3 linked regions of the Drosophila melanogaster genome follow. The protein of the gene in region 3 purifies or fractionates together with the protein of the main gene of each other region. This does not show direct contact. Each region holds a gene or a part of one and is shown on either strand. Other genes may lie near its edges.

Region 1 (4,898 bases), on a different chromosome or scaffold from region 3:
CAATTACAAATTTCAAGCAATTAGTTCTTTTGAAAACACTCAAACTTCTTGTCATCATAAATTTCTACGTTTTTCAAGTTTTTCTAGTTTTTGTTGTACTTAAAATATGAAAAAAACTTATTATATTTCAACCAATTTATTCGTCTCCAAAGAGCTCAGATTCATCCGCAACTAGAAACCAGAAATGCATTCGGAAAACTACAAACTCAATTAGATGGCCATAAATCTCCGGCAGAGTCAAGAACCCTCTAAATTTTGGTTGATAAAATGCCGAAATTATCACGGCCCAAGCACATGATATATGGGCATTCGGCTTGGCCGGTTTAACCCATTAGCCAGCCGGAAGATCGCTCAATTAGCGTTGCTCCTCGCTGCTGGTCAGTCCCAAGTCCCAAATCCCAAGTGGGTCACTCGAGGAAAGGATTTGCGAATCGGGTTTTTATTTGCCATTACCGAAAACCAAACTCCCTGGCCTCTTTGTTGGGCCAACAAAGTGACATAAATCTTGGCGAGCGCTGGCACAAACTCAACCGGAACTAAAGCAATGACGCAGCAGGAGCACCAGGACACATGTCGATGCGTTCTGCTCATCCATTTCGCTTGCTCCTCCTTGGCCAGCAGTCATAACGGGCGTGTGTGTAAAGCGAGTGTGCCAGTTCCGAGATTTATCGGCCCGAGGGGTGAGTCCATATCTGCACATCCTGCATCTTCTATCTGCGTATCGGTTTGGCAGGCCTCGAATCGCGGGACATCAATGCTCAATGCCCAATGCCCAATGCCGGATGCCCAGAACGACAGGCGTTCGATTGAAATTAATTGAATTTGCGCCCAAGCCACGAACTTGACTTCGTTTCAAGAAATTTCTCAAGCGCGCAGGGGCGGGCATTGTGCACAGAGAGAAATTTTTATATGAAGAATATAGTGTTTTATGTATGAAGGTTTTCTGAAAGTTCGCTTTAAAATGTTTCTCTTGAAATTTCCAATAATTAAATTCAAGTTTGATAGTAGCAAAAGGAATGTTTATCCCCCCCTTTGATAATTTTGCAACTTGTCTTTAATTACTTCTCATTTTTTAAGAGTGTTGCGAAAGAAGGACCGTGGACGCTTGTTTCCTGTTTATGCTCGAGATGTTTTGCAGCATAAATTACGCGTACACATATACCCATGTATTCGCGCATATGATATCCTTGACAAGTCGAGAAAGGAGAAGGGAAAAAAACAGGAACATTAAATTTATTTTTATTTCGCTGCCTTATAGGGAAAGCAACCCCAGTGAAAGGGCCCCCAAAGACGCGCGCTATGTGCGGTCCGTTGACTTTGGCGAAGTCATGAATTCGCTTGCTTATTTTTATGATTTTGGCTAGTTTTTGTTTTTCGGCCCTTAGATTGCTCGTCTATTTTCTGAGGGTTGTAAGTTGCACACTTGGTTGCCCTCCAATCGCCGAAATCAAAACGGAAACGATGATCGTCTCGGAGAAAATTCAGGAAAGCCAGACAAATTTATCAAGTTTGTGTGGGGGTGCGCTTTGGTGGGGCTTGTAACCTTCATTAATCATGTGGATATGTTGTTTTTATAGGATTCGACTACAAATCGCTTAATCTTTAAGCCTTGTTTTAGTTAGACTGCATTAGTTGGGGGTTTTATTTTAAATTTGGCGCTCATGCCTTTACATTTGGGGTGACCCTGCACTTAACAGTCTGCCATTGGCATAACAGCTCTGTGTGCAGACTACTTTTTGCTTGCCGTAGTAATTTCAAATATTATAGAAGTATAGGCAAACTATGATTAGAACTTGTAAATTTATATATTTTTTATTTATTTTGTAATTATGTGACCCAAACGCTAATTGGTTCCGATAGCCGCAATGACTTATCGATAGCTGCTTGACGCACGGTCACACTGTCTTAACTACGGAATATTTTGTAAAGTGTTAGTTTTATTTACTCGATTTTAGCTCTCTTTAAGCCCTTTTCGCCGTGTGTTTCTGTAAGTTAACCAATGTTTAAAACCCCAAGTGCACAAATCAGTTTAAAGCCCCTTTCCCGCGGCATGAAAACGCGTCAAACAAAGCCAGTGGAGATTCAGCTGCGGCCTGGCCAACAAGAACTCATTTCGATTCGTTCGCACATTTTGTTGTTGCCGCCTAGTGGGTGCTCCTCCGGGGTGGAGTCATCATCGTTATCCCTACCCCCAGTTGTTGGCGCCGACTGTCCGGATTTTGGTCTCTCCCACATGTCCCGCACATTTGTTTTTGTCGGTCACGCGAATTCCGCCCTTTTAACCAAGTTTCCAGTGTAACAACAAAAGGGGGCAAAAAAAGGGAACGCCCGCATTTGTATGTTTGTTCGTTTGTTTGCTTGTAAGCATCGTCTACGTTTTATGCTAATTAAAGTGCAACATTTTTTTTTTAGCCAAAGCTGCGAATATAATTCAATTAACGAGAGTCCAACTGCGACTGCCTCGCATTATCAGCACAGCAGTTGGTTTGGTTTGACGGCTTTATCTGAGCAGCTGGATGAGCGTGCAGAATAGCATGGTGTATATGTATATGGGGTACATTCCATACGCGATAAGATAACCCCCGGTTGCTGAAGAAGAAGAAGAAGAAGCGCCGGATTCGCGGGAGTTGGCAATTGCCTTCAATTCTCAAGTTAATTGTGGAGTTAGCTGTGCAACTGCAACCCTCAAAGATCCGAGACGAGGACCCACAAGACTCGTGCCTACATCCCGCTGTCAGTGGCATAGAGATTCACTCTTCCCGGGATCAGGCCCTCAATTGCGTCAATAATTGGACCTAATTGAAGTCAACAGGCTATTATTTTGCCTCCTTTGTTTATGCACGTTTTTGGAAACTGTTGTATTCAATTATTTCAACTGAGATTGAAATTTCTCATGTATTCTGTTTGTGTAAGAGTTTTAAATGCAGATACTTTCCTAAAAAGAGACTGGTCCTGTTTAGATTATAGTATCTATAGAGATTTGAACCCATAAAGATTACGTTAATATTGTTGATTGTTTAGAAGCATTCCTTTTGGGGAATAATCTAGTCCGTCAAAGAGTCATTGATATTATAGATAAGAAATGTTTGGGTCATATAACATCATCAAAACAAAACGTCATTACCAAAACATTTCAAAATACTAATACTTACAACGCTCCAATCGCTTGACTAGCTTAGCCCTTGAAAAGCAGGAGTAATGTCCATTTCTTAGAAAACCCCATGTGACTAAGCGCACTTCCTCTTCCAATTTCTCGCTTCCTCTCTGCTCACTTTTGAGAAGAAAGAAAGAGCCATAAGTTGGGCAACAAAAGATTAGTCACCACTGGCACGGGTCCATCACCTTGTGGCCACTACCTTCTCCTCCGCTGCCCCTTCATTTCACCGCCCTCCCTCTGGCTGGCACCTTTTGTTTTGTTTACATTTGCAGACGGCGATCAGGAGAATCGGAAGAATCAGAGAGGAGAGAAGCCTAGCAGCAGGTGGCTCTCTTCGCGGCTCTCCCATCTGTTGCTCATGCTGCTCACACTGCCCATGGAACCGAGCGAACCACTCGCTTCTATGGCCCGCTCATTCGAGTTTCGTCCGTCGTCGGTGCCAATTCGTTCGATTGTGCCGCGCCCGATATCGCTATTGAAATATATATATATATACATATATCTACCCATATATATGTATAGGCGATTCGTACATATATGAATATCGCATATCGTGCATATCGTTCAAGTTCAAATATCAAAAGAGTTTCCAGCCCAATTGTGGGAATTAAAGAAGGTATATACATGACGAGAGTGCGCGGTCATAAGTGTGTGACATATGGTGTTATTTTTATCCATTCCGAGTGGAATATGTGCCACAAAAAGGCAGTTCCATTGTGTAACTAAGTTCAAACGCCAAATGCACGTTGCGCCTGCGCGATGCGCGCCAAAAACCCATCGGAAAACCCTTTTCCCCATTTCGGATGTCGAGCGTTTTAGAAAACAAGCTGAAAATTACCTCATCGCGCTGCCGGCGCCAGCGTCGACGTCTGCCGTTTGATGTCTGCCCCTGACTACGCTGGTCCACAGAGAAAAAATTTGGATTATAATAGATCACTAGGCTATATCTTATGACGTGCTAGCGAAATCTTAGGACTAGTCAGATTAGCATAATTCGCTTTTCACGATGATGCTTTTTTTTGTATTTGTATATGGATATAAACCTGAGCAAAGGGTTCCATTCAACAACAATGTATAGTATTTGATTATGTAATCAAGAAGTACTGCATTATTTATATTACTGTTTATCAAAAAAATACTATATTATTCTCTGTGTACACAAACATATAGATATTTCATTCTATATTTCTTGCTTGCCTAGCAGCTGGCGGCTGGCCTCCCACTCCCCTCCTCCACAAATGCGATTTATCTTTAAGATACAACGTACGCTAAGATTTGTTTGGTATCTGTACGTAGATTTATTGTTTTTTTTTGTTACGCTCTTTCCTCGCTCTTCTCTTCACCGATTTAAATATCTCGCGTCTTTCGATGTTTTGTCATAATTTCTCTGGCTTTTGTCCTGTTTTCTACACATTTTTTGTCCGATTGTTTGGCAAATTTCGCCGTCGCTCCATTTTGTGGGCGTATTTTGTATATTATTTATCCATTATCTCGAAATGTCAATGCGCTCGTTTAAAGCTGTTGTTATTTTCAGTCTCTCTCACTTTTTCGAGCGTTTCGACCTTATTAGCAGTGGGCTTCGGTTTTGGAATGCCCGCCACATAAACACGCTTCGGAAACATAAAGAAATCGAGATCGGAGCTCATTTTCACTCCATGCTCCACTGTGTGGGCAGTGCATCGGCTCCACATCTACCAAATATTTCGGACGTAGACGTGGGGACGCTCAGCATCCGCCAAGA
Region 2 (4,655 bases), on a different chromosome or scaffold from region 3:
ATAATTTAAGAGCTTTAAACATCAATTTAGAAAAGAAAATAAAACAACATTAAAAGATGATTTTAAATAATATAAAGTACGTTAGCAAAACAAAATCTTAAGGATGATAAAAAGTGTCACTGGCAAATCAGCCAATAACTAATACCACACTTTCCTTAAGCCTATAAATGAAAACATATTGGATAATAAATATAAATTATTTCGAGCAAATACAACAAATTTGCGCCATTCTCGCCGCGAGTTTCTCACGCCGGCGCGCTCTTCTGAAGCGCCGAGTTTGCTCTGCCCACGCGAGCTGCACACAATCGCGTGCTGAAATGAAAACCAGGTCAGGGCCGCCGTGCTCACGTTACCCGACCCGCTGCGCTGATGCATTGCCACCCACTCCGGCGGAAAGCTCCCGACTTGTTTGCTGCTCAGCGAATAAGCTCTGTGGACTAAAGCCCTCGTAAGTGGTTCCGCATTTGCTTTGGTACACAATCAATTTGATCGATTTGATTAATTAGTAACAAATATATTTCTGTATAAATACGATCATAATGGTTATTGAACTTAAAAAGTAAAAAATCGAGCACCCGCACTAAACATCGACGGAAAATCATAAGTAGAGAACAGTGAGACACAGAAACATAAACTCTAGACAGAGCAGTTGCACTTGCTTTGCCATTTCGGTACGGTTTTCGGTTAGGCTCAGTTAGACAAAGGTAACACAAAGTAGTAATTACAATTAGTTGGCAAATCTAAGGTTTCTCAAGGCACATTTTGGCTTGGCATTTATTGAATTTGCCCCTCTCCTTCAGCGGCGCATCTTCTCCAGAATGGGAACCACCATGTCGAACTTGGGCCGCTTGCCGGGATCCTCGTTCATGCAGATTGAAATCAGCTTGGCCATGTGCGTCGATGTGCCTGGCGGAATCTTGACCCGCAGACCTTCCAACGCAATTTTCATGCCGCACTCCATGGGCGACCACTCGGCGAAGGGTACCTCGCGCGTAGTCAGCTCCCAAATAAGAATAGCAAAGCTCCACATGTCACAGGCCTCCCAGTTTCGATCCGCCTGCTTGCGCTGCAATGTTTCCGGCGACATCCAAGCCGGTTGATAGATGCGTCCCTTCTCTTGGAAAGAGAATTTGGCATCGCCCATGTTGATTCTCGCCGTCAGATCATCGTCGATCATCACGTGATGACTGTTCAGGTGATATGTTGGAATAATGCGCTCCAGCGAGTGCAGGAAAGCCATTCCTCTCGCAACATCCAAGGCAAAGCTTACCGCCTGGCTGGTGTCCACCACGACGCCAGTTGCTCCATGCAGCAGGCTAAACAGCGAAGAACGTGGCATAAACTAAAGAAAATAGAATGGTTACCTTATACGGTCATTTCTGAAGTTATTTAAATTCAACGCACCTGACTAATTGTCACCAGATTGGGTGGCGAATTGCATGCTCCAATAATAGGCAAAATGTTAGGGTGCGAAAAGATGCGGAGCTTGGGAAACTCCTCGTTAAAATCTCGCGATATACGAGGCGTGCACTGACGCACGGCCAGGATCTTAGCTACCACATCGTTCTTTTGCCAGCGTCCGCGCCAAGTTTCTCCTGATGGCGTCACCGACAGCTTGGTATGCAGGTCTAGGTCTCCCATACTGATTCCCTTGAAACGGGACAAAGTAGCATCCCGGGATCTCGTCTTCAATCCCTGCCAGCTTTGTTCCTTGAAGCTGATAACCTTAACCTCTCTGCCGCTCTTTTCTACAAGATCCTGAAGCCTCTTGGCCAGACTGGGTTTGGCCTTTTCAAGAGGTGTGTGCCCGTCCTTGTTTGCGATTCCCACCTGGGCTCCCGCATTAAGCAGATCCTCGCAGATCATGTCATAGCCCCAAAAACAGGCGTAGTGCAGGGGGGTGTTTCCATGCTCGTTTACCGCATTCACATCGCTGCGCTCTTTTATCAACTGTAGAGGCAGATAAGTTCTTAAATAAGTTACCTAGCTGGTTTCTGTTTTATCTCACCATCTGGACCACGTCGCGGTGGCCATGAGCTGCCGCTAAATGGAGTGGGATGTCGTCGCCCATATTGGTGGCGTTCACACGCGAACCGCGCTGCAACAGAGTCTCCACAAGCTTGGCGTGGCCCTCTTTAGCCACCCAATGCAACGGGCTGAAGCCATGGTCGTCTCTAAAGTGTACGAATTTATTTGTTTTATTTATTTTAATTATGGTGGAATTTGAGCATTATAGACCTTATATACTTATGCTCTTAGAGTTAGGTATGGTCCTTTTTAAAGGATTATAAGACTAATTATAAGTAAAGAACAATATAAACATGGCAAGCGGGTTTTATGCTCGCGATATGCACACAGGCAAATATGAACATACGTATACTTATATATTTGATTCGTCTGTTTACACAACACAAGAATAAATCATGACGTCACTTAGACTTGAAAGACCCTCGAAATCTTGGGCGTATTTAGGCGATGACTAAGTAAACGTTCCTGGTAGAGGGGGTTGCTACTTGAGGGCTTAACTTTCTAAGTGCACTATAAAGCAACTAGAAAGTGATGGAGTTAGTTGCCTCTATTGGATTTACCCCAAATTGTTGTCGTGCTCCGTTTCATCCAACCAGAGGCGCACTTGAATCGAGTTGCCCTCGCGGCACCAGTGGAATATGTCCTCCATTTTTACTCCTCACTCCTTTATTCCGCTCGCAGTCACTGATATTATAGGTTTTCCAACCTAATTTACATCTAGAAACAGATTTAAACGCTTAAAATGCGACAGTTGTGAGAATTCCAATTAAAATTTGTGCAGTGTGGACGTTTTAAATATTTAACACACTGCTCGCGTTGCCAACTGCTGCAAAACATCGACAAGTGTGTATCGTGGTATCGATGACATACACCAATTGTGAATGTTTAAAGCAAGAAGAAGAAGGAATACAACGTGCACCGCAACTATTATTTAAAAACATTGTTGTTTACCTCATCTCTTTGTATTAATTAAACCATTACAAGCCCGAAAATGAAACTCAGCACATACAACTTCTTGACCTCCGTGGCCATCAAGGGCGTCAAAGTGGGATTTCCCCTGAAACTGACGGTGAGTTCCGGTGTCCCAAGTCCTGGCTATTGATTGTTTCACGGTCTATTTGTTTTTGCATTTAGATTAACAAAAAGGAAGTGGTGGAGAGCGAATTTAATCCAACTTTTGTGGAGAGAATCCTTCCCAAGCTGGACTGGTCAGCGGTCTATGGAGCTGCTCAGGTGGTAAGTGATAGAATGGTTCTAAAAGAACCATAGAATGGTTCTAAATAGTGTTACTGATTTCAAATTTACTGGTTTCAAATATTTTTAATCAGTTTTAAACTATTAAAACCTGTTATTTTTTATATTCGTTAATAATTGGAATTTGTTTTTTAGGCGGAACTCACAGAAGACATTCCTGCCGTTCAGCCTGAAAACATTGTGGAGAATGAACTGCTTTTGCAGAAGCTTCACCATCTGCTCTTCGAGATCGACGTGCTCGAGGGTCAACTGGAGTGCCCGGAGACAGGTCGTGTGTTTCCCATCAGCGATGGTATACCAAACATGCTCCTTAACGAGGACGAGGTCTAGATTACACCCATGTGCTTTTTGTACCATAATCCCCATAATCCCCTTTCTCCAGACGCGCATTAATATTAAATAAGTTTGTTAGTTTTAAAGTTTGTTTATTTACGAGTTACTAAAAACAATTGGAGCTTGGATGGAATGTGACTTCGTTTTTTTTTTTTTTTTTTTTTTTTTTTGTTGAGTCTACGTACTCGTGTGGTATTTGGTAGGTGTTTAAGGATAAGAGCAAAAAACACTACGACATATATAAATCGTAAGTCTGAACATGTGGAGGGTGGTGCTTGGCTACTAAGATTCATCTTCACTTCTTTGGCACTCTGGGGGAGGTTCCAGATGAGATACTCCCGCCTAGTTGCATTTGATGTTGGCGCTCTTGTTGCTGCCTTGGGCGTAGATGCTGCCCTTCGCCAATCCGGACTGGGGTCCTTTGCAGAGTTCCGATTTCCCACCCCTTGGCTTATAGGTGCGATCTGTGAGAAGACTAGCATTAGGTCCTTGAGTGATCTGCTTTTGAAGAAGCTTCGTGTTGGGTCCATTCCAGGTGACATAATCGGCTCTGAAAATAATTTTAATTATATTCATAGATGAGTCTTTGTTTTTATTACTTCGACATTAAGTTGAACTACTTACAGCAAAAGATTTTCATCTGCACCCTTGCTTAGCTGGGAATTGGGTCCCAAACTGGCCATTCGTTCGATAATAGATTGAAATTCAGCTGATTCCGAATTATGCGAATTTCCAAGGGAGTGCTGACGATGTCTGTTGAGAATTGGTTAAATTTGTATAAAAGTTCTTTTTATATTAAACTAAAATATTTCAAAGATTTAATATTTTATATTGAGCTTAAGGCATGCCGAAAGAATATAGTTAACAGGTTCAAAAATAATATCTCAAAAACGGATTTCCCGATACTATCCATGCGAACTCCTTGAAAAACTCATGCGCAAAACGATTGATTTTACTTAGCGAAACGGTAAAAAAACGGTTATCGGAACGGTTTTTGGTTTTAGCGGGCATACTTCAGTGAATCGGTTTTGGTGCGAGCA
Region 3 (5,105 bases):
TGAGACGCCCTCGTCGTGGCGCTTCTACAACGATATGCGGTTCATGGAGCCCGCCGTTCACGAGAATATCATGCGTCAGACGCGAAGCAGCAGCAAGAAGCACCCACCCGGACACTGGACGGAGAACAATAATGTGCTGGGGCCGGACAAGTATGACTCAATGCCCATTGTTGCTACGGAGCCCATATGCGAGCTCAGCCACAGCTATGACTCGGAGCTACACCAGCCCAGCTTCTCGGACATCAGTTCGTTCTTCGAGGATCGCGACTGCCAGCCGCCGGAGAATAAGAGATTTAAGTCGGAGCCCAGTCAGAGGGAGGAGGACGAGGAGGATGACGATGACTTCGACGAAGATGCCGCCTCGGAGAACTTGGAAGAGGAACGCGGCAATCGTGCCGATGCTGCCAGTTCCGGTGTATTCACCATAGAAGTGCTCGATGACGACGACGAAATGGAGCAGGCGGTGACCAAGACCAAGGCGAATAACACTAGCCACGGCGGATCCAGCCTGAAGAGCGAGCAGGAGGCCAAGGTGTTCTCCAATTCGCAGTCACCCACCGCCGATCTGCCATTCAAGTATATCAGCACGGATGTGGCCACGAATACGGATCCCTCTGGTGGAGATCTCCAGGACGAGGCGGATCGCATGTTCCTGCTCAGTCTGATGCCCTTCCTGCAAAGATTGGACAGCCGCCGGCGTCTGCGCGTGCGCCAGAAATTACAGAACGTGCTCATCGAGGAACTGGAGTTTGGCTGAGGACGCGTATATCCGGGGGAATGTGGGGAGATTTACTTTATAAGCCTAGCTTACAGTATTATAAGAACGCGACTGACTAACTCTGTGAATCTGCCTACATACGTAGCATGTAATCAGTATTCCGGCCTGCTTTCCTTCATACCAACACACTTCAATACATACCATATTGCATTACAATACATATTTACACTTCAAATAGACGATCACGCCAGCATGATTACTTGTTTCTTCCTCAGGATAACCGCTCACTTTTACCTGTATCTGCGCTCCGGTGCACCTGCGCCTTTTACCTGCGCACCCCGCCCGCAGTTCGAGTTCCCAATTATCCACGGTCACTGTTGCAATTGCATTTTTCCAGCCACGGGCGGCTCAAAATTTCTGTCAGTGCAAAACAAGTTCTTTAAGGGTGGTGCACGCGGCAACAACAACAACCACAAGGTGATTCCCTCCGCATTTTCGCGCCACATGCGCCGTTAATGCTAATGTACCGCGCTCTCGCTCGCTCTCTCCGCTCACCAATCACAATGCGCTCCGGATGGGCGAAACTTGGTCGAGCCTAGGCAACTTGATAATTCCCTTTTGGTGTGTTGTGTTTTTTGCCTGAAAACATCTCCCCATGTTTTAAAAATGATTCAAAGCTTTCGTTGAATAATGGCGGGCTTAACAGTTCTGCGATTTGCTTAATAGGGTCCAATTGGATGGAGTTTAACTTTCAAAAACTTTCGCTAAACAGAAAGCTCATCTTCTAATGAGTAGAGTCTGAAATTTAGACGCAGAATCCATAAAAATTCTTAGTGGTTCATGCATTGTTGTTAAAATGTTGAATGCTGTTTTGTCTTTTCGGAACTCATTTGGAATTCCAAAATTTAAGGTGAAACACTATTTAATTTTAATTTAAAATTCCTTTTAATTTCAGCAGTATGATTCCCCTCTGATTTGTAATCACAAAAATGTTCATGGCCATTCATTGACCATCATTTATACTTATTATAATCATTTATACTATTTATAAAAATTGAAATATAACAGTTAGCAGAATCAGTGTGACCAGCCATTGTGAGGATCAAAAACTAAACCTCCAATTCGGCTATGCCCGCGATACCCTGAACGAACAGGGGCGCGAATGACAAAAACAACAAAAACCAGCAGCAGCAGAAGGGCAGCGTCGTAACGAGAGAGCCGGGCAGAGAAGAAGAGGAAGAGGCAACGGCAGCGGCGAGCGCATGAACGTGAGTTTTGCAGTTTGATGGTTAAATGCGTGCGTGAAGGTTGGAGTGAAGATTTTGAGCCGAATTCGAATCCTAGTCCCCGCCGCAATAAGTGGGTCAGAATTGGAGCCGTTCGATTGGGCCAAACAAAAAGCTGGGCGCCACCGCAGACTGCAGCTAAAACACGCCGCCAAAGTAATTGGAAGAAGAAGCAGGCGCACAATAGGAATAATTGTTCATGGATTTTTTCGATTTCTCGTTCGCTTGCAGAAGGAAAAGTGCACGAGGGTGGAACCAAGGGTAAATAAGATTCGCCCGAAAACGCTTGGAAAATGTAAACAATCTGTAAGCACAGCGACGATAAGCGATTTTCAAAGAGTTTGCCAGCTTTTTACATCGATCAAACACTCGCATAATAAACGAATAAGAACTGACGATTAAATCGAATTGAAGTGGAGTGACGACTATGGGATACCCTAGGACCGCGTAGAGTGAATGAATTTGACAAGTGAGTTAAAAAAGCCATGGGGCACGAATTAAGTTAGCATAATATATGTGCGTAAATCAATTCAGTGCTATTAACTAAGTTTGTTGGGGGAAATGTTAGCTGTGTAATCCGCATAAAAGGAAATCTTGTTTAGGACCCATACGCCCCTGATACCCTGGACCGAAGCGGACGCCATTATCCTATTAGCCGTTATGCCCCATCAAGCGATTCGATTGTTTGAGGTTAGTAACAGTACATCTGACCAAACTTCTGCATCGACCCTCTGTATTAAACGCAGTTCTTTGCGGCATAAGTGAAAATAAATAGAAGATAAAATGTGCATGTGAGCCTCCCGTGCATGAGTGTGCCTGTGTCCGTGCGCCCTGCGAAGGAGAAACAGAGAGCGGAAGAAATAGGAAAAGAAGAGAGCGGGCGAAACGAAAGAGAGAGCGACGGTTTTGGAGCGCGCGCGCACATCAAAATTAAAAAACAAACTGTGAGATACATTTGGGTTTATTTTTTATATTTTGTTTAGGCTACATAGGCGATGATGATGATGTTGATGAGCGGCAAAAGCAACAGAGAGAGAGATAGAGAGAGAGAGAGAGAGCGAGCGACTCGAGTGTTATGTTGTGTTTTCAGTTTCGGTTTCGGATGTATCTTCTTCAGTCGGAATAAGGAATACACGATTGTCGGAGCGAACGGATTACGCATAAGAACTCTCTGGAAAACGAATTTCGCCTCGCGAAAATCCGCTGAAAAGGCAAAGCCAAGCCAATTCAAAACGGAATCCGCACCGCATCAAATTAAAAATCGAATCAATTAGCGAAAATCGGTACTGAACGCGCGACCCAACAACAACAAAAGCCAAGCGTCTTGCATGCGGCTGCTAAAAAAGGTGTGTACGCGAAGGAGATGCACGTAGAGAGCGAAAGAGGAGGCACGAGCGTGCCACTATCAACAGAATTTGATAAATAGACTTTAGTCCAATTGCTGCCAAATGCAAATATTGATTTTCACTACTCCCAAGATTTCCCAAAAGATTCCTCTCGACGCTTTTCCGTTTTTGGAAAATATACATACACAAATATACGGACGATTTGCGGCGCAGAAACCACCTACATACGGACATGTAGAGAAACTTGTGTGAATACAACCCTCGTCCTCATCCCCCTATGTTTTTGCGTCGTATCCTCGCTGCACGAACACAAATGTAGCGCTGTAACCGTGTGTGTATGTGTGTGTCTGTGTGTTTGTGAAAGGACTTTAACTTCTTGGTCGTGTTTTTTCCACGTCCTGCGACTCGGAGACAGACCCGTTTCAATGGAAAACGTTCAAGGGTGACAAGGGTAGTTTCGCTGATGCCTCCTCCTTCTCCTCCCCCTCTTCTTTCTGCATGGAGTCCTTTTCCTGCTCTTGTTCTTCTTATCCTTGTTTTTGTTGCCGCTGTCTACACGGTTCGAAAATATCCTAGAAGTGCATTCCTTTCCTAGGGCGTTGCATTGTTTAGCCGAAAAAAAGGGTACCAAAGCTGAGTTTGTTTATTGATTTCATCAGGACTGTTCGCAATCCAATCGCAACCATTACGCACAACCGCTTTTCTTAAACTACAGATGGTATGGAAATTCACGTTGTTGTGATTTCCCTTTAAACACTTTAAGGAGTGTATTTTCTTTTTATAGAATGCTAATTCATAGATGTTAAAACATCCCTAACATCTTGTCGTTTTTTAAAATCTCCTTGTCAAAACGGTAATAACATTCAAAGTTACCTTAACTCAAGGAACGTAAAATCTTGTCCTTAAAATGGGTTTATTTAATAATATCAACATATTTGCGCATTAAGTATATACATTTTCCTGGCTTAAATTTCCAATTTGGTTTGCTTTAAAATTTTACTTAGAACTGATTAAACCGAACAAGTTCGTTAAGTTCTTGTTTATCGAAATGCAAATCCATTTAAAGGGGTGTGATCCTTTACACCAACTTTTTATTAATATATATTCTGGGCCATAGTGCATCTTAATATAAGAACTGAACTGCCAGGCAAATTGTTTTCACCACAGATCGACAAAAATCATCAATCGCTTGACTTTAATATTTTTCCTTGACGAGAGCAACGGGAGGCCTAAACTCAACCCGCAGACATTCAATAACCCTTTTCCACCTTAACCCCATTCGTAAACTGGATTTGCTACCCCTCAAGTCATACTATAAATTAACTCAAATCACCCAAAATCAGAATGAAGGAAGAAATACACGTTCCTGTCGTCAAGTTTTCCGCAGAGTGTGGAAGAAACAGCTCCGTAATCCTGACCCGGTGGAGGGATGAAAGTCGGTCGTTTTATTGGGTCTACGCTCCTCGTCTTAGAGATGGAAACCAGTTCCGTCTGTTGTTTTATGACGTAGTCGCTTTGTGTTTGCCACCCCATTCTCCCCGCCGGAAAAGTCGCTTGCGCAGTGCTGGCGAAGCGAGGTGGTGGGTGGAAAGACAGGAAAATATTGTAACTACGTGATAAGGTTGAGCGCTGAGGTGGGGCCCCGTGAGGGTGGTTTCTAATCCCAGTCCAGTTTGTTTTCCCGTGTTTTTGGGGAGAAATTTCCCGACTCTAGTATCTGGGTTACAGAAAGTATCTAAGGAGTACAGGCAGTTC

What was found. The genes of interacting proteins can lie anywhere in the genome.
Region 1: the proteins of wech (region 3) and rhea purify together in Drosophila melanogaster (affinity purification with western blotting, with the first as the bait; one study listed by BioGRID). This does not show direct contact.
Region 2: the proteins of wech (region 3) and Ilk purify together in Drosophila melanogaster (affinity purification with western blotting, with the first as the bait; one study listed by BioGRID). This does not show direct contact.

The regions. Positions count from the first base shown.
Region 1 is NT_037436.4:8,543,103-8,548,000, forward strand, and holds the start of rhea (rhea), read left to right. Parts: upstream 1-1,898; 5' UTR 1,899-1,987; intron 1,988-3,572; exon of another isoform or gene 3,573-3,773; intron 3,774-4,898.
Region 2 is NT_037436.4:21,215,086-21,219,740, reverse strand, and holds Ilk (integrin linked kinase), read right to left. Parts: upstream 2,841-4,655; 5' UTR 2,678-2,840; coding exon 2,589-2,677; coding exon of another isoform or gene 2,585-2,588; exon of another isoform or gene 2,175-2,584; coding exon 2,009-2,174; intron 1,951-2,008; coding exon 1,405-1,950; intron 1,343-1,404; coding exon 797-1,342; 3' UTR 501-796; downstream 1-500. Other genes in the region: Trmt112 (tRNA methyltransferase subunit 11-2), read left to right, coding at 3,020-3,097, 3,163-3,264, 3,418-3,612; CG10508 (uncharacterized protein), read right to left, coding at 3,958-4,165, 4,240-4,368, 4,629-4,655.
Region 3 is NT_033778.4:7,486,701-7,491,805, reverse strand, and holds the start of wech (wech), read left to right. Parts: upstream 1-1,982; 5' UTR 1,983-2,473; intron 2,474-3,113; exon of another isoform or gene 3,114-3,350; intron 3,351-5,105. Other genes in the region: Coop (corepressor of pangolin), read left to right, coding at 1-757. UniProt on the Drosophila melanogaster protein: Vital for larval development. Plays a role in tumor formation. A crucial component for the physical link between integrins and the cytoskeleton in the epidermal muscle attachment sites.